4 linked regions of the Schizosaccharomyces pombe genome follow. The main gene of each other region encodes a partner of the protein of the gene in region 4 in a complex. Each region holds a gene or a part of one and is shown on either strand. Other genes may lie near its edges.

What was found.
Region 1: mrpl28 (region 4) and mhr1 share a complex: the UniProt entries of both Schizosaccharomyces pombe proteins name them as parts of the mitochondrial large ribosomal subunit.
Region 2: mrpl28 (region 4) and mrpl44 share a complex: the UniProt entries of both Schizosaccharomyces pombe proteins name them as parts of the mitochondrial large ribosomal subunit.
Region 3: mrpl28 (region 4) and mrpl12 share a complex: the UniProt entries of both Schizosaccharomyces pombe proteins name them as parts of the mitochondrial large ribosomal subunit.

Annotation. Positions count from the first base shown.
Region 1 is NC_003423.3:1,797,918-1,803,861, forward strand, and holds mhr1 (mitochondrial 54S ribosomal protein mL67 ), read right to left. Parts: upstream 3,374-5,944; 5' UTR 3,342-3,373; coding exon 2,814-3,341; 3' UTR 2,296-2,813; downstream 1-2,295. Other genes in the region: vacuolar membrane cation-chloride cotransporter Vhc1, read left to right, coding at 1-837, 884-2,295; SPOM_SPBC18H10.18C (uncharacterized protein), read right to left, coding at 4,439-4,776, 4,822-5,212. UniProt on the Schizosaccharomyces pombe protein: Component of the mitochondrial ribosome (mitoribosome), a dedicated translation machinery responsible for the synthesis of mitochondrial genome-encoded proteins, including at least some of the essential transmembrane subunits of the mitochondrial respiratory chain.
Region 2 is NC_003423.3:4,121,549-4,126,758, reverse strand, and holds mrpl44 (mitochondrial 54S ribosomal protein mL53), read right to left. Parts: upstream 877-5,210; coding exon 687-876; intron 614-686; coding exon 501-613; downstream 1-500. Other genes in the region: cnp3 (centromere protein), read left to right, coding at 1-190, 271-389; F-box protein Pof12, read left to right, coding at 1,178-1,324, 1,411-2,586; rpl1901 (60S ribosomal protein L19), read left to right, coding at 3,039-3,620; actin-like protein Arp10, read left to right, coding at 4,131-5,210. UniProt on the Schizosaccharomyces pombe protein: Component of the mitochondrial ribosome (mitoribosome), a dedicated translation machinery responsible for the synthesis of mitochondrial genome-encoded proteins, including at least some of the essential transmembrane subunits of the mitochondrial respiratory chain.
Region 3 is NC_003421.2:1,158,236-1,164,815, reverse strand, and holds mrpl12 (mitochondrial 54S ribosomal protein bL12m), read right to left. Parts: upstream 4,361-6,580; 5' UTR 4,307-4,360; coding exon 4,272-4,306; intron 4,223-4,271; coding exon 3,736-4,222; 3' UTR 3,481-3,735; coding exon of another isoform or gene 2,824-3,480; 3' UTR 2,500-2,823; downstream 1-2,499. Other genes in the region: protein Nro1, read left to right, coding at 766-1,947; Lsk1 complex gamma subunit lsg1, read left to right, coding at 2,824-3,480; ipk1 (inositol 1,3,4,5,6-pentakisphosphate (IP5) kinase), read right to left, coding at 4,690-6,580. UniProt on the Schizosaccharomyces pombe protein: Component of the mitochondrial ribosome (mitoribosome), a dedicated translation machinery responsible for the synthesis of mitochondrial genome-encoded proteins, including at least some of the essential transmembrane subunits of the mitochondrial respiratory chain.
Region 4 is NC_003424.3:2,666,351-2,671,873, reverse strand, and holds mrpl28 (mitochondrial 54S ribosomal protein mL40), read right to left. Parts: upstream 2,224-5,523; 5' UTR 2,062-2,223; coding exon 1,705-2,061; 3' UTR 1,506-1,704; downstream 1-1,505. Other genes in the region: Brix domain-containing protein Rpf1, read left to right, coding at 425-1,345; mrps12 (mitochondrial 37S ribosomal protein uS12m), read left to right, coding at 3,052-3,540; hxk2 (hexokinase 2), read right to left, coding at 4,691-5,523. UniProt on the Schizosaccharomyces pombe protein: Involved in mitochondrial genome encoded proteins translation.

The sequences.
Region 1 (5,944 bases), on a different chromosome or scaffold from region 4:
CAACGGCAGGTCTACTGGCTGGCGCAAGCATGTCTGGTGATCTTAAAGCACCTTCTCGTTCTATCCCTAAAGGTACTATATCTTCTCAAGCAACGACCTTTTTGCTTTATTTGCTAGTAATTTTATGTGTTGGTGCCTCTGTAACTCGTACGGGACTTTTACTTGATATGGACGTTATGGAACATATTAGTTTACATCCTTTATTCATCATTTCTGGAATTCTTTCTAGTGGCGCCTTTAGCTCGTTTATGGGTATATTTGGAGCTGCAAAGCTATTACAGGCAATCGCGCGAGATGATTTAATACCCGGAATGTTTTTCTTTGCAAAGGGTTCTAGCTACGATGATATTCCTTATGTTGCAATTGGAGTGACTTACTTAATTACGCAAATCAGTTTATTTTGGGACATCAATATGCTTTCTTCGATGATTACAATGACTTTTCTTCTGACTTTTGGCTTTATCAACTTATCGTGTTTTCTGTTACGAATTAGTAGTACCCCAAATTTTCGACCTACCTTTCGGTATTTCAATAGACGCACTACACTGGTGGGTACCATCTTGTCATTTGGCGTAATGTTTTACGTTGATCGCTTGAATGCCTTTATCTCATTTTTAATTGCAGGAATTTTGGTGGTAGTCATATATTTCACATGTCCTCCTAAAAATTGGGGTGATGTGTCTCAAGGCATCATTTATCATCAACTTCGAAAATACTTGCTGCAAACTAATAAAGCAAGAGAAAATATAAAGTTTTGGAGGCCTCAAATTTTACTTTTGATTAACAACCCGAATCGGTCAGAAAATGTTATCCGTTTCTGCAATTCATTAAAGAAAGGCATGTATACCGACATTTTTTGACAATACTAACCCATAAATTATAGGTTCCCTCTATATCTTAGGGCACGTTATTGTATCCGATGATTTTCAGGCTAGCATGGATGATTTAAGAAAGCAGCAACGTCTTTGGCATCAGTTTGTCCTTGATCGAGGTATCAAAGCATTTGTTGAACTAACTATTGCTCCAGACGAAGTTTGGGGTATCCGTGGTCTTATATCTTCTGCAGGCTTGGGGGGAATTCGTCCAAACATAGCTGTGCTAACATTTATTAATACGAATTATCGTAGACATCGTATATACTCGGGTTCTTCTTTCTCTCTTGAGAATACTAGTGAAGAATCAGAATCTGACAGTAAAAAAGAATTTGTGGAGCATGATATACTACCTGTGAAGTGGGTACAGATATTGGAAGACATGCTTGTTGGTTCGGTGGACGTTATGGTAACTAATGGGTTCGATAGACTTAATTGGCCAAAAAGAAAGGGAGAAAAGCAATATATAGATATGTTTCCCATTCATAGAATATCAGGTGTGGGGTCAGAAGTCAATGAAAGTACACCAACGTTTGCGACGAATTTCGAGACGTATACTATGGTTTTTCAACTTAGTTGGATCCTTCATACAGCTTCAGATTGGAAACAAGGTTGTAGGCTACGGCTTATCACTCTTGTTGAATTCGAGAATGAAATAGAGGCAGAACGAGAAAGCATGCATCAAATGCTAGAAACGTTCCGTATCAAAGCCGACGTTGTAGTGCTCTGTCTTGCTGCAATGAATTTGGATGCATATAGGTACATTGTCAAAAATGAGCATGTGAGACCTAGCAAGTCTTCCGAGCTTGAAAACTTACTGAAAGATGACTCGTGGTGGCAGGAAGAAAAGAAAAGAAGAGGAAATACTGTAGATTCCTTAGGACCTATTCGTTTTCCACGTCGTATGTCTGGTTATAACTTTAGATCTGCCAGCTTTGATAAGAGTGCTCCACCTTTAAGTGTGCCATTGAGTTTCCGCCTTGGGCCACATATGCATTCAGTAAAGTCGTTTGAGACTGAATCTTCTTTCGGAAACCGTTCTTTATCACCAAAACAAGAAAATAGAAGAACTTATTCTGACAGTACTATTGAGTCATCTCTGATGCCCAACGTGGTCCGAGAAGATAGTTCATCTGATAGACTAGCACCAAAGAAAAAAATAGGAAGGGACTATTCTAAAGAGAAGTTGACGTTTAACGATTTATCCTCGAGATCTCAATACATAATTATGAATGAAATCGTGCTGAAACATACTAAAAATACTTCTGTATTGTTTACTGTTTTACCAGCACCTTTGGCCGACACTCATAAGAGCTTTCGAAAAAGCGAGGAATATGTTGATGACTTATTAATATTTATGGAAGGATTACCTCCTTGTGCATTAATCCACTCTAAGAGTTTAACTATAACTACCGCTCTTTAACGATTTATGGTATTTATGTCTTTGGTTTATAAAGTCTTTTCTTTTGGCATTGTTATAACTATTTAAATATTTGGTCCATGATTTCTATTTTAGATGCTAATATTTTTTTTTTATTCTGGACCAAACTTTAAACAAAAAAAAAACGAGGCAATAAAGTGATGAGTTAATCTTGCATATATTTCATAGGAGCTCGAAAACTTCAAAATGGTAAAATAATAAAGATACGAGTATTTGGTGTCGATTTGTATTAAATTTATCTTGTCTTGAGTATCTAGCCAATACTCTCGCATTGAAGTACAATGATAAGCTAAGGAAGCTGTCCAGTGCAATACACTGGATACACTGGGAAGAATTCGTAACCGTCTTTAGTAAAAAGGACTTTATCATTAAGTAAAAAAGATTGAGCTAATATGAATATGTGTTAGCTTATACTTCATATAATGCCCTTTAAGAAAGCCTAAAAATGGATGAGGGGTGTTTTTGAAGGAAGAAAGTGAGAGAAGTAATGATATTATGCTTCATCTAGCTTCGTCTACGGTTGTTTTTTCACGGAAACCTCGCGAGAGTTTAATTTCCTCTGAATCAATCTGCACACTAGGGGGCCAATCTGCATATTCACTATCGGATTTATCACTCAGTTGCAAACGAACGGAATTTTCGGGAAATTTTTCTTTATTTAAAATATCTGCCAAGTCCGCAATCGTGTTAGGAACCTCTTGTCGCATTATTTTTCTTCTACGAACGGGTATAGGCAATTTCAAAAGGTCACTAGTCAGTGGTTGAACAGAACGATATTTTCGATAGTTTAACAGTTGCATAAAAACAGATTGAAACATTGATTCATTAGGAAATTCGACTTTTAGTAAAGGAACCCAATGGTCTTTACGGAGCTTAGCGGGTCGCATACCATTTGGAGCGACTGGCTTTTGAAGTGGGTAGGGAAGTTGAAACAACGCAGTCTTTTTTAAAACATTTCCTTGAGATAAAAGTACCTGATTCGTTTGAATATGCCTAAATATATAGAGATACTTGTTCTTTTCAAGCATTCTTTCCTTTTACGAGTACAGATTGGCTGTTTACATATATGCTTGTAAGAGATGCGAAGTTTGTTAATAGCGCGTCCGCGTATAAACGTTGTGCCCAATAAACACATATCGTTTGCTAGCACAGATGTTAGGCAGCATTGCGCGTTGAGCAGCCAAAAACAGTAAATGTTTTAATGATACGGTGAGTGACGGAAAATTTGAATACTGGTCAGCTACGCAGTTTAATATCTATTTAAAGTGTCGCTCACGTATTTCGGTATCTGCTTAACGATACTTAAAGTGCAATGAATCTCTCTGTGACCTAATATATTATGTTACACAGTTAATATAAGCAGCAATTTCAATGGGTGTTCTCTGAAATAAATTATATTGTTACCTATGGACATAGCAAAAAATATTACTTTTCGCTTGGGCTGAATGTTGGTAGATTTTGAATACGAAAGATTTCATATAATACAAATTGAATAATTTTTTAATTCTTTTTGTAAAGAAATTGCTACTGACCAGGAATTGGGAAATCGCATTATTTAAAATAGGTTTTCGCTCTACACCAAATTGATTTTTCATTTTTATTTGTTTTAGAAACAAGTTTGAACTTATATTTCCTGTATATACTGTATTTTAAAGCTCCGAACACTTGAAAATGATATATGGAATCCTCATTTTATGCATTAAACAGAAACTAAGGTTAAATCACTACTTTGCGTCTTTTGAGTAATGCCTTACTTGTTCAATTTTTTAATTCGCAAATCTTACAAAGTCATAATTAAGGATTGTATATCAATTTGGTAAAACAATAAAGAGGATGATTAATTTATAATTGACAACCAGATTCATTAGTTAAATGACTTTTCCTAGCACCACAGAAACACATCGTGTTTACTCTATAACAGAGACAAAAATGTATGTATGGAAAAAGAGTGATGACTGTCATCGGAAATGATTAAGTGACAATGCGTATAAGGTAATAATACAAGAAATAGAAATAAAGGGGAAAAAAGGAGCTTCTGCAGGAAAGTAAGAAAATTAGTAATGAAATAAAAAAGACACTCGCAGCTGGTTGGCAGCCCCTTGATTTTTTTTTCTAGCCATGACTTTTAGCTGCTGCCCGATTCTACATCTTTAGAAGTGTTGCAATCGGTTCCCTCAGCCATTGTGTTGTCACTTGCTGGCTCTGTGGTAATTGCTTGGCCTCGCATAGACGACATTTCAACGTCGCCAGTCTCTTCATCTTGTTCTATTACTTCGAGCCCGAGAATAAACAACAGTAAGGATAAAATAATATGAGCCAAACCTTGAATTGCTTTAGCTACATATTTAACTAGGCCTGCAATCGTTTTAGCTACATGTTTAGCTAGACCTTCATTCGCTTTAGCTACAGATGGTGCATAAACATAAGCTTCTTCAAACGCTAATTTAATTAACGAAAATGAAACTAGAAAATCGTTAGCCATGAATTCAAATCATCTCAAAAACTTACAATAAACAATAATCACTGTCATCACGTATGTAAATATTAACACTATAGTTTCAATAACATATTTAACCACAGAATTAAGATCCGCCAATGCCTGATCGAAATAATTATAAAAATTATGATAAAGCAATAAAGTAAGAATGAAAGGAAGGAAGATATGAAATATCGCATATCTAGCTTGTGTAAGTCGCACATTTTCCGAACGCTTTCTTAATCTAGCAGGTGCAGCCATTGTATTTTTTTTTCGTAACGATGGTTGTGTTAATGTTGAGTTTTGTTTGACAATTGGATTGTTTACATGATTATTGACTGAATATGAAGGACAAGAATGTAAACAACCCTTCTCCAAATCATTCCAAACTTCATTGTATTGAGGTAACTTTTCGTCTGGCATTTTGAAGAGCCTTTTACCAATAGTGATTATATACGTTTGAGTTCCAACTTGAACATTGCAAAATAAAATGCGAAATTAAAATATAAAATAGATAAATAGATCAAAACCAAACACTTGAATAGCCTAAAAATCCACGCGTTCTAAGCATCCAACAAAAAGAGATGGCTCTTGTTAAGGAATGAAATTGAATCATTGTGCTGTCAATATCAATTTACGCACAAGTTAGCATTAATTAGGCACTGCGTACCAATACGCTATAATAGCGATGCCTTGCTTCGTTTTATCATACTTTGAAAAGTATGCAACACTAGTTATTAGACAGTGGGCTACACTAAAGACCGCTATAATGTTTTTGCATCGCGAGTTACTATTATGTTACATGTTTTATTTACTCTACTAGTTTTGCATGAATAGTTTATCCAAGATATTAAATTACCAATTATAATAAGATATTTACCAGTAACAATAATACTGATTTTGAATACTATAACTTGAAAATTGAATTGAGGAGCGAGGTTCAGCCATGAGCTATATCAGCGTTAGGTTACAAACAATACCGACATCAATAACTCAGGTTACTATGTATTCATACATCTAGTAATACAACAGATCATCATTAGAGCTCACCGCAATCCTACTTATAATTGAAGCAGATATCAAACTGTACATTTAAACAATTGTATAATTCATTAAATCATACCTTATTGGCAATTTACAACGAGACTGTAGAAC
Region 2 (5,210 bases), on a different chromosome or scaffold from region 4:
GCCAGCTTGTTCAAGGAGGAGCCATCTTTTGCTGCTGGCGTCGTTGAAATGCCAGCAGGAGCAGAAAAACCAGTGAAGCCTTCGAAACACAACATAATGTCTTTTTGTATACTACAGGGAAAGATCGAGGTCACAGTAAATGCAACCACTTTTCGAATGAAAAAAGATGGAGTATTTATTGTTCCAAGGGGTAAGTTTAAATATACACATTTCTAAAAATTCAAACAGGAATTATACACCGAGAATGTGTTTTGACTAACATTGCTTTAGGGAATTATTACAGCATAAAAAATATCGGCAAAGAAGCTGTTCGACTTTATTATACCCATGCGACCGACACCTTGGAAAATAAAAGAAGGGGAATAGGGGATTTTCCAAACGAACGATGACAATACTAATAGTGTGTTATGGATTTCGATGTACAAAAGTCATTTAGTCGTTATGTAATTTAATTATCTGTTATCAATTTAATCATATTAATAAAGTCATTTTTTCTAAACTTATTTTTGCATCATTTCCTTAAATTTAAGCGTTTTACTGTAATCGTCAATTAATTCAGTTAGCCTACCAATATTCATTTTTGTCGGATCAACAGTCAACTTTTTTCCATCCTCTAAATAATAATTATTAGCAAAAGTCAAATCTAACGGTCGCAGTTAAACCATCTAGCTACTTAAAAGCCTTACTGTATACAACTTCAACAGATGGTTTTGAATTGGTATCCTTTGATGCAAGACTGGTAATGAGATTAAGTCCATAAAGAGAGTTGCTGGTTTCTTTACTGGCAACTGCTAGCAAAAGTTTCGCAGATTGACTAGCTTTGGAAAACGGGTTCACATTCAAAATTGACAATTTATTAATGTACCCAAATATCATGATTAAAAATTTTAACTGGAGAGTAAAGTCGTCAAGGAATGTAATTAAAAGAGATCTTTATGTGTAGATATTTTAAATACATTAAATGGTGGTAAGTTTTGTAAACGAAATGACATTTGGTAAGCTAGGTGACCGTTACCCTGATAGTCTCACTTCCTACAACAACTAAGTCAACTTGGAGATACAAACGAAACTAGTATGTCTCTATAATACAATTTGTCATTCCAATTTTATATAGAACCTCGGTTTCCGCTTGTGAAATATTTTTTCATGAACAATTGCAATTTTGATTTTATCCAACATGACTACCGATGTGAAGGCTAAAAACCCTGCGTCGATTTTCAGCCATGAAACCCTCCTTCACGTTCTTAATGATTTGTCTGCACATGACTTAGCTGCTTTAGAACGTGTATCTCGTAGTTGGAATTCAATTGTGCGCCGTTCATCGGTATGTTCTTCTTGACTTTTTAGTGATATAGTCGAATTTTCATGTTTTGAGAGACTGATTTCCATGTACTAACGACCTTCATACAGGTATGGCATAATTTATATCTCTCAGAATTTGGGACTAAGCATTTACGACGACATGGTCGCATTGAAAAAAAACGAAGGAATTGGAAAGGATTGTTTCGAAGGCAATCTAACTGGAAGGACGGACGTTGTAAAAAAGTAGAGTCTATGCTCCCTCAATTGCTTAATTCTGAAAAAAGCGTTGGAGAAGATCGTTTGGGGCTAACGCTTACACACCAAAATAATATTTATTTTTGTAATGACGTTCAAATATCAAAATGGAGCTCAGTTGGTAACAGTTTGAAATGCCAGGCTATTTCTTCTTTTAGAGATGAAACTGTCAAATCTGGTCCGGCTGTAATGTGTCTGGATAACGCCAGCCTTTATATTGGTTTAAAGGATGGTAACCTGCTACATGTAACGGTGCATGAGACAGGTTTCGGAAATATTGAAAACCTTGCAACATTCTCTACCAAATTTGTGGCATTATCATCGCATAAAAATTACATTTGTGGATTGACAAACGACAACAATTTATATATACTTCAGCATTCTCATCAAGCTGGAACCAAATTGAAAGTACTTGGTAAATATCATGTTTCAAGTATTGAAAAACAGGTTGCTATTCACTTTCAGCAATCAAAAGAAGGATATGAAGTTGTTCATGTAGTTTTTAATGATTATGTTCTATCTGGTGGATGGACCGTTAGTTTGCAAGAATTTGTTTTCAACGAATATTGCGTCAAAAGTAGTAGGCTTGCATTGCATGACAACAAAGACATTGAGTACTCTCAGCAACCTGCTTCTGCTATTTTTATGTATGGGTCCTATATTTTGACATCTCATCCGGACAATTCTTTAATTTTGCAGAGGCTTTATTCAACTAACAACGAATTACGGATAAAATTTTTAGGTCGTCTCTTAGGACACGTTTGTGGTGTTCAGATATCTAAACTATTTTCTTGTGGAAGAATTGTTTCTGTATCCAAAAACTGTGCCGATATTTGTGTTTGGGATCTTCATGATACAAATTATCAATCAATCGTATCTCCGCTAATGCTAACTTGCACAAACATCCACAATAAGCCCGTATCTGATTACGAAAAAGAATGTAAGGTTCAAGATATAGGACTGTATGAAGATACTATTTTGATAACCCTTTCCGACGGCAGAATATTAAAGTTTCTCTTTAATATTTAGAGAAAGGTTTCACTTTATCGTACATGATTGAATTCTAAATGATGAGTTTAACCATAGTTTTATAATTTTATTTATATTATTATTATTACTTAGATTGGATTATTAAGTGCCTTTTCAAGGTTAATGAGCCTCAATATACTGTATTACGAGTATCTGCTATACCTTTCAGTTTGCATCCTCTAAAATAATGAAACACAATGTGCATATTCGGTAACTGATTCAACGAATGTAAGGGATAATTTTAATAATCATATTTACTTCAGTCAAAGCATTTGGTAATGTTAATAAATTTTCTAAATACTTTTTTTATTCTTTATTCGTTGTCATTGTTCCTCATAGCAGAGTACTGAATTATCACCCAACCCTACCCTAAACGTGACTGCCCCAAAAACAAAAGAATTGACCACGCCTGTTTAAGAAAGATTGTCCGTCCACCAAAAACAGCAAGAAAAATGGCCAATCTTAGAACGCAGAAGCGACTTGCTGCATCCGTCCTTAAATGCGGCAAACGCAAAGTTTGGATGGATCCTAATGAAATCAGCGAAATCAGCAATGCCAACAGCCGTCAAAACGTCCGTAAGTTGATTAAGGACGGTTTGGTTATTCGCAAGCCTAACTTGATGCATTCTCGCTTCCGCATTCGTAAGACCCATGCCGCCAAGCGTCTTGGTCGTCACACCGGTTACGGTAAGCGTAAGGGTACTGCCGAAGCTCGTATGCCCTCTGCTGTTGTTTGGATGCGCCGTCAACGTGTTTTGCGTCGTCTTCTTCGCAAGTATCGTGAGTCTGGCAAGATTGATAAGCATCTTTATCACACTCTTTATTTGGAAGCTAAGGGTAACACCTTTAAACACAAGCGTGCTTTAATTGAGCATATTCAACGTGCCAAGGCTGAGGCCAACCGTACTAAGTTGATCCAAGAGCAACAAGATGCTCGTCGTGCTCGTGCCAAGGCTGCTCGTCAACGCAGAGCCAAGGCTGTTGAAGAAAAGCGTGAGCAACTTTACACTGCTGCCGAAAAGATTGAGGAGTAAATGAATATATTTTCCCCTTTTGAACTGGAATAGCATGATGATGATTATTTTTGTTTTTTTTTCAAGCGGTAATTTGTGCCTGATTGTAGTGGATTTGCAATTGTAGCTTTTTTTGTAAGCAATTATGTTTAACGTAACATAGCAATTATTCGTATTTCTCTTATCATATTCTTTGTAAGTTGCATTATAAGTAAATGTGTATTTAATTCATATTATTTTGTTTATACATATAAAGTTTGAGTTAATTTAAGTGTACGGAATGCGTTTGATTAGCCGTACTTGTTTTGTAAACACACGAATGTTTTGAGTGCATTTCCGTAATACATGTATTCTTTGTAAATAAAAAGCCATCCACTTTTTATTCAGTAAAACAATTTGTTTAAAAATTGTCAAAGTACAATTATTGAATAAATATCAAACCCTTACATTTCTTTTGCCAAACCAAACAAATAGCGACAAGAGTTTTTTTAACATCACTGCTACTAAATTGAATTCCGAGTAATTATTTTGATGCGAAAAAATTGCGATATTAGCACCGTAGTGGTGCAAATTGACGAATTTGGAATTTACATCGGAAATGCTAGCGATAAAGAGCCAACTTGGAAAGTAGATCTTGTTCCTTATAAACAAAGCTGGGTCCCTATATCCATTGTGACAACTATAATTCAAAGATACTGCTTGAACACATTTAACTGTCTAGCTGAAATAGTACGCGTTGTATTAGTATTGGACATTTTTGTTACAAGGAAACAGAAAAAAGAGCTTTGTGATGGATTATTCAACACTTTAAACGTTCCAATCACGTTGTGGATATGTGCACCATTAACAGCGATCCTAAGCACATCAACAAGAGATGCAATAATTGTGGATATCGGGATGAAAGAAACAAAGTTCATCGTAATTTTAGACCTTTGTATCTTAATGCATTATACAAAAACTTCAAAAAGAAGCTTAAGTACGGTTTTGGAACGTATGGCTGACTGTTTTAAACTGAACAACAAGAAAAATTCTCAAAAGCTATTGGAAGATGAGGAGTTTGCCGTAACGGAAGCATTAATGAAGTCTCTTTTAAAATCAAGAGTACCAAGCAAACCGACTGAAGAGCTCTATCAATTAACAGATCAAGAAGCTTACTTTCGGTATTCGGATATCTTACCCTTAGCTGAAACAACTTGTCAAACAAATAAAACTGAACGGGGCTCAAGCTTTAATGACGCTGAAAAAATTAGAGTTCCATCTTGGATCGCCAATGCAGGCATTGAGGCTCTCTTTGAGGGTTCTGATGCTGGAGGGTCGGACATAGCAGACCAAGCCCTTCCTAACGTTTTACTATCTCTGTACCGTATTCTTCCAATTGACATTAGAAGGATTATGTCGAAGTTAATTGTTTTTAATGGGATTCTTCCTTCGCTTCCAGGTTGGTACCAGAGATTTCAAAATGAAATGACATCTCGTGGACTCGCTATAAAAGCTGTACCAGGACAGACAACTGCAGACATGATGGCATGGAATGGAGCAAGCACTACCTGCGAATCACAGTTAGATTATGACCCGGATGATCCTAAACATCTTCGTCATTCTATTGTTGAG
Region 3 (6,580 bases), on a different chromosome or scaffold from region 4:
CAAACTCGTTGATCAGATATCGTTCAAAAACTAAGAAACGAATTCAAATTCCCTGCCAAAGAAACGGTCAAAACCACATAAAAGTTGCGATTTCGTATTATATTATTGTTTAATAAAGATTAGCGTTACATTACAAAACTGCCAAATCTTCAATGTTATCTCGTGCTGGCAATTTTGTATAGCACCTTTTTGCGCCATAAGCCCTAAGAAATATTGCCGCATTTTGAATATCATAGATCTCCTTTACAGAAACCTATCTTAATCAATTTACTAAGTTAAATTTCGGCTAGATATGTTTACTTCAATTGCTCTAGATCCGCTGAAGTCATAAAGCTTTACTTTCTTCCATCTCCTTTTTAATTTTGCTCTTTTTTTTTAACAATGAAAATCCAAAACGTGTTAATGTATCTTGCTGCATAATTAGATGTTTAAAATAAGCTTCCCCTTCACAATTTAAAATCATCAATTTTTGTAAACAAGTCAATATGTACGACTGTATTACGAGCCTCTATACTTTCCACTAATACATTTTAACATGTCAAGTTCTCCAAGCTTCTGGTAACTCGTTTTCCACAGCCACAAAACGACGGTATTGTTTTTGTTACGCCATGCTCTTATTAGGTTTAACGCACATGGCCGACAACGCAACAACAATACCACATTACGTTGTAACTTGCTAACAAGTTTCCCGCGCGATTTTTGGGTAGAAAAAATCACTCGATGTCAACGCTGCCTTAGCAAAACAGGTTAATTTAACGGTTCGTTATGATTGGAAGAAGACCTCAAGGTCTACGCGCTGCTGCTTCTTTAAAGAAGCAGCAGCAGCTTGAAAAACAAAAGCAAGAAGCCTCTTATGAGCTGTCAGGAAACTCGTCTCCTAGTAAGGAAAACGGAAGCGAAAATGTCGACAATGGAGAAATGGAGGATGAGACAATGCTTGTTTACACAGAGGAAGACAATATTTCACAACTTTGGGGTTTATACGAGATGAGTCGCGAAAAGTTGGAAAATGACGATATAGATGCTAGTGTGAGCCTTGTCTTTGGTACCATTCACGAGGCTGATAGAATATTACGGAATACCGAGGACATTTCTACATTACCCAAGGACTTTCACGCGGCCTATTCCTCCGCTCTTTTGGCTGTGTCCGAGCTTTTCGAAATTGCACAAAAGCGTCTTAAGGAAACCAATACCGAAGAATCCTACATAGATGCTGCAATCGAGAGAGCTCAACTTGGCTTGGATGCTCCTGGCAACGAATCGAGACTTTTCCTTGCTCTTGCTCGTGCTTACCTTGAGAAGGTACGTGTTCTTGTTTGGCGTCACGATAACGAGGAATCTCTTGCCAACATCCCGGTCACTCAGTTGGTAAACCCATATATTGAGAAGGCCATCCAATACCTTCGTCCTCTTGCTCAGGATTCCACTGAATATTTTGATGCTCTTACCCCCGATTCTTTACGCCCATTATACATTCTCTCTTCCTACCTCTTTCAATTCGGTGATCAATTCTCTGAAGCTTTTCTCCTTGATGTCTGTTCAATTATAACTGCATTGTGGTTAAAATCTGTTGTCGATCCCAACACTCCTGCCTATTATAAGTTAATCGCTCAAGAGGCTGTTCTAAATAATTATACTACCTTCGCGGAATATTATATGGATTTGCTCGACAACAGTGAAAGTAATGTAGATGACCTAATCAACAAGGCTTCCAGCTGGCTCAACAATTCTGTCGATACCTGGAATGTTATTTATACTCTGGATAAATCTCCTGAACGCTTGTTAAAACTTGCGGATATAAAGATGGATCTGGCTCAAATTGTTCAAGACGAGGCTAGTCAGGATAATTACTTGAAGGAAGCTTGCAATGCTATCAAGGAGGCTCAAGGATCAGGTGTTGAGTTAAGTCCTGATTATGTTGAGTTTGTAGAAGCTTATTCTGCTTAGGATCGCTTTTACTTGCAACTTGACGGGTGTATTTCCATTATATCATTATCCCGTTGTTATATTTTTCTCCTTGAACAATACATCCTGCATTTTTTTTCTCTTTTCGAGAGTATTTTTCTCCATTATATTTACTTTTTAGGCAAACCTTATAAGTTTGTCGCTGGCCATTTTAGATTTCAAAGCAGTTCTTTATTGAAAGGAAATGTTGATTTTGTATGTACGACTTAGTAGAGCGTATAAAAAAATAAAAATTGTTTACTGATTCATGGGTTTCATTTTACCATATAAGTAAGGTCGGTTTTTGTGCTTTTATTAAAGTATAGTAGTTATTCTTTCCCGCTATTTATACTCAGAGATCCTAACAGTTTGGTGAATGGTTATAACTTTATCAGGGCTATATAAAAATATCTTTGAAAATTTACTATTTCGCTGTTGAAATTACTAAAAAAGTAGTATTTAATAAAATGAGATTTTAGTTTCTTTAAAGGTACAGTAATAGTGTTTGAAATAAAGTAACATGCTACTTAAAGCAACAGATTTTGCAACATGCTAACAGTTTGAAGACCTCTTAATATTACTTATGCACTGAGTATATTTTAATTTATTTGAATCTGGAAAGGTTCAACGTCCTTTCGCAAAATAGTATCCCAACGCTTTTTTTAGTCTCAAATTTCAGAGATTGCAGCTTCAAGAATAGATGAACACTTGGCAAAGGAAGTTTATTCTATATTTGAAATTTAAGACAACACACATTATTATTATTTAAAAAATTATTCTTGATGTTTTTGGAATTCAAAGTTCACGAAGTATAAGAAAAACCATCATAACAAAAATCGTTGTTGCACTCGCAATTACCAATATACTTGCAATAATAAAATGGATCCATTTGAGGGCCGCATGACATTTCTACAGCTTTTGGGAAAATTGAATGCATCGCAATTCTCTCAAATTAAACCCGCGCAATTTGCAATTAAGCATCTAGACTTGGAAGAAGACTTATATTCATGTATATGGGAGGAACTAGAGTCAGGTTCGTTCAATACAAGAGTGAATATCATGTACTTTGTGGACACACTCTGTGAGATGTGCTTAAAAAATGGCCTTACAGGTGGATATCTTAATATGATTAGTAGAGATATCTGTAAGCTAGTCCAGAACGTAGCTCCTATAGGAGCTGCTGGAGCTGCTAACGCTCCAGAGGTTAGAAAAGTACTCCAGTCTTTGCATGAAAAGAAGGTAATCGATGATAATCAATATAAAGATGCTATGGCTACGGTAGAAGCCCATGAACAAGCGAGCAAGTCAGGTGATACCAGTACTTCAGGAGCCATTTCAAAAAACGACATTCTTAAGAGGATTGAAGAAGACAGAGAGCGACACAAAAGAATGCGTGAAAACATTTGGGCTATTTCAGAACCAGAGTTAGAAGCGGAAATTGCATGGAACACTACCCAAGGAATTACTGAAAGCGATTTGGAATCCCTAAAGGATGAATACGAAAAGTTTAATGAATGTCTTCATGCAACTTCCTGAACCGAAGAGCGAAAACATAGAGTGTAACCCAAATAGAATAAAAACATATAATTAACTAATAATTTTGGAGTATTTTATACATTACCTAATATCTGGTTTTTTTAGAGATGATGAATTTTCCCTCCGTAGCTTAGTTTTTATGGGAATCCAAGAAAGTAAATCGTGTCACAATGTCAAAGCAATAACAAAAAGGTTGCCCAAAGAATTTGAATGGCGGAAAAGCATAGAAATGAAATTTTTTATAAACAACCCAGTTTATTCGAGGACTACTTTACAAGAAAGTTTCTCTAACTTCGATTTTATAGCTTCAGCATCCTCTTTCAAAATATTTTCTTTCAAAACCTTTGGAGCACTTTCAACGAATTTCTTTGCGTCCACAAGAGATAATCCCAAAAGAGACTTCACCTCTTTGATCACCTTGGCTTTCGAACCAGCATCAAACGATTCGAGTTTCAAATTCCAGGTGGTTTTTTCCTCTTTCTTTTCCTCAGGAGCTTTCTCTTCAGAAGGAGCGGCTGAAGCTACTGCTGGAGCCACTGCTGCCATCGGAGCTATTTCAGCAATGTTTAACTTCTCCTTTAATTGCTTTACAAGTTCAGACGTCTCTAACAATGATAGAGAGCTTATTTTGTCAACCATTTCCCCAATTTGGGCATTATTGTTTTGTACAGATGCGGCAGCTCGAAATGATCGCGTGTTTACCAACGATCTTGCCCAGTTCTTACTGGAAGATAAAGCACGTCTTTTAAAGTTAGTATAAATTTGTTAATTAAAAATAATTACAATCTTACAGATTTCTTGTTTGGCGTGATGCGATGCGAAACATGCTGTATTTTAAAATTATACTTGAGGTGAAGTAAGGTGCAAGTGAGATGGGGGTTGGCAAGTTAAGTATAGTAACTACAACTTTTAGGTGATCATTCATCAAATATCTAAAATATGTTCAATGGATCTTATTAATTTTTCATTAGTAATAATTAGAAAATAAACTAACCTCGTAGTAAAAAATGCTCTAGAATTATTAAGTGTTCAACAGTTAGTTGAAGAGAACAAATAAATCTAACCCTTTATTTTTATGCTTTTATCTCCCTGTTAATTATCAGGCATATAACAAATAAAACAAAAATGCATAATGTATTGAAATATTGCAATAAATCCACAAATTGATGGTGGTATTACATATTAGAAAAAAAATTAACAATGAGATAATTACTTTATGCTGCTCCGGCATGCTTTGTCAGTAGACTTCATCCCACGACCATAGTACCAACCGCCTTCAATCAAATTCCTTTCATCACGTTCCCATTTAGACATTTTGGTATTCATGTCTTTAGGATCTAAATCTAGTAATGTTATGTGATCTTTACCAATGTATAAAGTCACATCTCGAAGGGTCATCGCTAACGCAACATCAGTACGAGAGTATTGCTCTTGTAGGTCACGAAGCTTCCGTAGTATACCAGACTGAAACAATCTCATTGCGATATCAGGACTCACAAATCCTTGAAGACAGCACAAAAACTTGGGCCAATTGTTGAAATCAAGCTGTAGAGGACAAAAACCAACGGGTCTACCACGCATACGGCTAAGGGCACACGTTCGACAAACAACCCAGTCAGGTGGAGCGGCAGGGGACTGAGTCAACCATTTTGGTTTCATTTCAATTCCATCTTTGAGATCTTTCATTACCAAACAGTATTGCTCATTTAAATTTAAATAAATACCAGAAGCATTTTGGGCCGCCAGCAAAAAATCCCTAGTAACTGGCTGCAAAAAAACCTCAATTAAAAAGCTTTCCATTCCAGCAAACAAAGGATAAATTACATTTTGATAGTATTCATAAACTTGTTCTGTAGTAAAAACCTGTCCTCGACGTCGAAGACGAATTACCTTGTCTTGAAAGTAAGGATTTTTACCAACATACTCAAACACCACATTCGCACTTCCTGAGGCAAGGTATGCCCATTCAGAAATCACCAGGGATTTACCGGTGGAGGAATGATTGGAGATAACGGATGTTGGTGAATAAGGTGCAGGGGATTTAAAAAGCGGATTCGATATAATTGGAACTTGAAAATTACTACTAGCAACCGATTCATCTTGGGACTCTACACCAGAAGAAAGGGCTTTCATGGATGGAGGACGCGACATAATTGGAGTTGAAGGAGTATGTGTGTCAACGGGAGAATTTGTAACAGAAGAGCTAGCGGTACTAGCCATAGGCGAAAGGCTTACCTGAGACGCTGAAGTATGCAAATTCTGAGCGATGAGAGAATTCATGGCATCAATTTTTCCAGCTTCCCACTCTCTATTTGATAAAACATCACCAGATTTTGGAAGTTCTACGGGAGGACGGTTGTTGTTTACGGCAATTAAGGAAATGCTTTCAGCAGCCTGGCAAACTGAGGAAAACTCAACGAGCCACGTTTGGGGAATATCGTCTTGAAAACAATCCCAAGGGCGAACAATGTTGTGCATTTTTCGAAACATTTGAAGTTGCAAGCAGTAAAAATGCTTCATAAGTTGTCCAAAAAAAACACGACTTTTTGCAATAAGAGTTGGGAAGGACAAAGTTAAATGCTTCTGAAGGTCATCCAATTCACCATTGACACGGACAAGCTGGCTTTGTAATGCTTTAATTTTACTTTTTTTGGTTTCAGGATCAGGCAATTCGTAAACAACCAATAATTCTTTTTGAATTTTTTCAAGTTCTTTTACTTTTTTATCTCTTCTTTTAATCATTTCAACTGCCTTCTTTACATAGCCTTTGACCTCCTTGCAAGGAGCAATAACTATGACATGGAAATTTTGCAGGGCAAGCAAGACTTCACGACGTTGACGTTCCAAGGCCTTGTTCCAATCGACCAATGTTCCGACAGAAGCAGCAGGTTGTTTTTCAGGAGGTAACTGTCTGTACAAAGAAATCCAAGAGGCAGTGACGGAGGGAGCTATACAAACCATGCATCTCCAAGCATCATAGAAGAGTCGAGAGTTATCGATTGTAGAACGAATCGCTTTATCTAATTTGTGGATCTGATCACTCCACTGCTCAATTTGTTGATCAGAAGCAGCAATATCTAATTGTTTAGGTTCTTTTTTA
Region 4 (5,523 bases):
GAGTGATTTGTAGAATGTTGAACCCTTACCACAATGCTTTCAGTTGTTCAACAATTTAATGATGAGGATATCTATAGTGTACGATTTCGGATTGTAATATCACCTATTTACAAACAGTAATTGTAACTAAAGTATACATTTTGCTTAACAGCAGTGTGATATAATACTGCGTTAATACTTTTAAGCAAATTTGACGAAATTCGTAGCATGTTCTTCAGATTCGGTATTTTGCGACATGGAATTGGATTGTGCAATAAGTTTTTGAGACTTCAAACCCATCGTATACTTTTTTTTAACTCTCTTTTATTTGTACTTAAGTTGCTCATTCTTATCTCAATTTTTTTTAGTTGCAATTTTTTGTAAGGATTTAAATTATTTCATTCTTAAATTTTAAATTTTGAGAGATTATACGCAACTTATTAAAATGGGGAAGATTAAAAACAAAATTGTCCGCCAACAGCAGTATATGAAGGCTCTTCATCAAAAAAATAAGGACAAGCTTGAAAGAAGAAAAGAACGTGCTAAAGAAGAAGAAAAAGACCCGGAAAAGAAGAGATTGCGACTTTCAGAAAATATTCCCGCTACTATTGAATCGAAACGAGTTTATGATGAAACTATCATAGAGGATAAACCCGATGAGGAACTTCAGGCGGAGTTAAAAGATGATGAGTTTTCTGCATACTTTAGTGAAGAAAGGAAAGTTCCGAAACTTTTGGTAACCACGAGTAAACGAGCCTCTAGAAAATGCTATGATTTTGCATCTGAGCTTTTAGATTGTTTTCCTAATGCTGAATTTCGAAAAAGAACCGGAGATATTGAAGTTCATGAAATCGCAGAAGCCGCTGCTAAGCGTGGTTACACCGATTTACTGGTATTAAATGAGGATCGTAAAAAAACAAATGCATTAACCCTTGTACACTTACCGAATGGCCCTTCGTTCTATTTTACCTTATCGAATCTCCAAACAGCAAAGGAAATTTCAAATCATGGCCGCTCCACTGGTCATATTCCAGAACTGATAATCAACAATTTCTCAACGAGACTTGGTATGACTGTTGCTCGAGCCTTTCAATCATTATTTATTCAAACGCCTCAAATTCAAGGGCGACAAGTTGTTACCATCCATTGTCAAAGAGATTTTCTTTTTTTTCGAAGACACCGTTATGCATTTCGTGAAAAATCGAATATGCCAGATGGTATTGGAACTGGGCTACAAGAATTAGGTCCTCGATTTACCATGCGTCTTCGTATGGTTCAAAAAGGAGTATGGGATAGGAAAGAAGGGGAGGTTTTCTTCGAGAGCAATGCCGGTGAAGAATCAGATAGACGTAAATTCTGGCTTTAAAGACATTTTGTCTCATCTGCGACACGTTGTAAAAAGAAAACAGTGTTTGGGTCATATTTTATTGTTTTCGAGGTAGGGTTTGGGTTTGGTAACAATTCTAAATTTTTGGTTAAAAAAGAAAGCATGGCCTTTCATTTTGTATCATTCGTTTACGGTGAAATTGGGAATGAATAATATGATACATGTAGACTAGAAACTAGGAGACATAATTCTTTAATTCAATTATTGGTTTATTTAAAAATCCTAATTAGATTATACTTGCTCGTAATTAGTGATACATTTTTTTATATACTTGAACTTGTCTATAACACTTTCGAGCACTACCGAAGATATTAATTATACTCATAAAAGGCGCTCGCCTATTTAGAAAGCCGTGGTGGTGTGTCCGTAGGAGTCCTCGTTTCTACGGGGAACCTCCTGTTAATTGAATCGCTCATTGCGGCTTTATATAATGTTTCACTCGTATGCTTCAGTTCCTCGCAAGCAATTTTCATTGCAGAGAATTGGTTTTTTAGAAGATTCTCTCTTTGTTTTTCTTGTCGATATTCGTGTATACGCCAAGCGCGATTAATAACTTCGTGTTTTTCCCACATGTCTGGATTCATTTTCAAAGACCTGACTTTTTTATTTCCGTAAAGAGCTTTTCTAACCAAATCGATTGACTCACTATGATTAGAAGGACCAGATTGGTGCTTTCCCTTTGAGGCCTTAGCCATTAATTGTAACGTAGAACGCATCTGCCAAAAAACTTTTCAACACAAACTAAAGTACTCCTTGAATTTTTTCACGTTGATAGAAAAAAATTTAATTTTCAAAAGTATTAACATAAAACCTTCCTTTAAAAGCTAAAAAACCTGAGTAGAGAAAAATGCGGTAGTAGTAAACGTGTTCAGTGGTATGAAGCTAATTAAGAGAGTAAGTCGTGATACACTAGGAAAAGCCACCAGTACGATATTTCAAAAAAAGAAGTGTTTCATCAAATCCCCTTCAATTTCACACACTGATAAAAAAAATATAGATTATAATTCGGAGTTCATTTAATTGTTTCTGAATTTTCAGTAGCTAAGCCAAACAAAGCATATGCATTTATGGAGATATGTAACCAAACGAAGACATTTAACAAGTAGAAAATATTAAGTTTTAAGTCAAAGCTTTATATGGAGTAGGCCTGATGCTCAATTTTTCTGCTAAGTTTCATGTAAGTAGTCAAACACATTGATAAATCCATATCAGTGTTTAAAGTTTTAATGAATGGATAAGTTATTGTAATAAATACTATCATCAACTGAAAATGGCATGGCAAAACGAAGCTTAAACCTCAATACAATCTACTTCCAGTACGTTTTTCAGTAGAAGTCATGAATTAAGTTGATTTTTTCAGCTTAACACTGTACTGTAAATTTGTCGATTAGCATACCTACATTCTGCATCTGTTTTAGACTAGTCCATTAAAGTTCAATTCCTAGAGGAAAAAATATTTAATACGCTAGTTATACCCAAAAATGTTTGTCAAAATATAAAAGAATAAATTTTTGTATCCCATCGAATAATATGAATGCTGCGAGATATTCTATTCCAAGGCAATATACATACACTAACACCAAACCAGCGACGTTCGGGTACAAACTTCGGAATTCCTTGCTCAAGCATCTATTATAGTGATTTTTGAGATTTTATACAGCTCAAATATTAAATTTCCCCAAATAATGATCCGTTTTGCTCAATATGCTCGATATCCGGTAATTTCAAGGTTGATGAAGCCAACAGTTATTTCACCATTTCAGGCTCAAGCGTTTTCTAGCTCTTCAGTTATGTTAAAGACATTAAATCAAACGATAAGAAATAAAGAGAAACGTCCTGAAAAAACAAATAAGCAATCTGTTGCTTTAGAGGGAAGTCCGTTTCGACGGGGTGTGTGCACGAGGGTCTTTACAGTAAAACCCAAAAAACCTAATTCGGCAGTAAGAAAGGTTGCCCGTGTACGCCTTTCAACCGGCCGTTCTGTTACTGCTTACATTCCAGGTATCGGTCATAATGCACAGGAGCATGCTGTGGTATTGTTAAGAGGCGGCAGAGCACAGGATTGTCCAGGAGTCCAATATCATGTTGTTCGGGGTGTCTATGACATTGCTGGTGTAGCGGGACGTGTCACATCCCGAAGCAAGTATGGAGTAAAAAAACCGAAAGCAGCCTAAACTTCATGACCTCAAAGACTTTCTTTTTCGAAAACCATGATATTCAGAAACGTTATCTTTATAATTATTCCACCTCCTCTTTTGATATCGATTCACAAGGACCTTATTAAAATGACTGAAACAAAAATTTAAATGAGAAAAAAGTTGAGTCAACCCATTTGTCATTTCTCGCAACCTTGCTTCTTGTTGCAACTATACATATTCAATAATCATTTACTCTTGCATGTTTAATAAGCAATTTTTTAGTTGAACTACATCCCCTTTAAACATACAATCATCAAAAAAAGGTAAAAAAGATTGTGTAATTAGGCAATTTCCAGTTATCTAAAAAATTAGCAAATAGATAATCCTTTTGGTTAAAATTTAACCAAATCTATCTAAACAATGATTTATTAAAATGAGGAGGATTTTCTTTTGAGAAATCCTTTTGGAAAGTTTTCTACTTTTTTGATATAAGCTCTTTAAATAAATTTTAAACTTGAGACGCTTTCAATTTTTAATTTGTTCAATTTGGTTTTACTACCGTGCTATTTAATTTTTAACTCTTGAATAAAGTATAAAAAACACCTTTTGGGTGTTGGAAAACGCTTTCCGGTTCTTATTTATATAGTATGCAGTATTGCTAGCACAACTTCACCGTTCAACGTTGCAGAAAAATTTACTAAACGATGAGAAAAATATTTTTTAACAAATCTTGGTTAATTGGATTTCTTGAAAGAAAAAGAAGATTTTATCTTGAACCCGAATAATTCATAAATTTGAGATAATAGGGTATGATGAATCTTATTTTTTACAAACTCAGATTAAAAAAAATCAAATTTCTTTTTGTTAGAATCAATTTACACACACATCTTTGAGATGTCCTGTAATGTTTGTAAATTCCGTACTCTTTTTTGGAATGTTAACAAAATCGTAACAAATTTAATAACAATACACAACCACAATTTTGTTTTAAAGAGACATATAACATCAATCACAACATGCTTTTTAATTCATCTGATATTCAATCTTCATACTATTAACTAATTCCAGGAAATAAATTCACTTTCAAAAAAAACATCTTAACTAAAAGCTGTTAAAAAGCAATTTCATATTTACATGCTCATTTCTACGTACAATTCAAAAAAAGCTAACAGACATCTAACATGATTTAGGCCAAGCCTTTCTTTTCCTTAACAGCTTGGAGGGCGCAAAGAGCGGCACCAATACCACTGCCATCCTTGGCAATACCAATGGAAATCAATTTTTCGTTATCACCGATAAGCTCACGCAAGGCTTCACGGAGCATGTCAACAAAGTGAGGATAGTGTTCGACTAAAGAACCATCAACACCAACATCACTCTTCTTACCAGCGCGGCCGGTAGAAAGATACAAAGAAGCAATGGGAACGGCAGACATACGAGCAGCACGACGGCCAATTGCATGAGCAGCATCCCAAAGGTACAAAGCCTCTTCGTCGCTGCGGAAACGGAACTTGAATGTACTAAGAACGTTACGAACATTCTCAGCAGAACGTTCAACCATCATTCTGGAAAGAACAGAAGTTTCCAAAGACCAAGCATCAGTAATGGAAGGAGGGAAAATACCTTCGTTGAAGTTGTAAACCTTGATCAAGTGGAATAAGGCACGGCGGAAAAGCTCACCGAGATACATACCACCAACGCGCTTCTCAAAGATTTGACGACCAGCATTGGGAGTATCATGATCAAGAAGTAAATCATAACGAGTGGAGTGAAGGCAAGAGAAATCAGTTGCTCCCCATTCCATGTTGATAAGCATATGATCACCAGTACACTTGCCAGCAAGCTTGGGAATTTGGTTCATTTGCTCGACGTAAGCACCGTTGGTACCGGTTCCGAAAATGATACCCATAAAGGTGTCGCTCTCCTTTGAAGTATAAGCACGGGTAACGAGAGTACCGACGGTATCGTTGATGACAGCCTCGATTCTAATAGGAAGGTTACGAGCCTTGAAACCTTCAG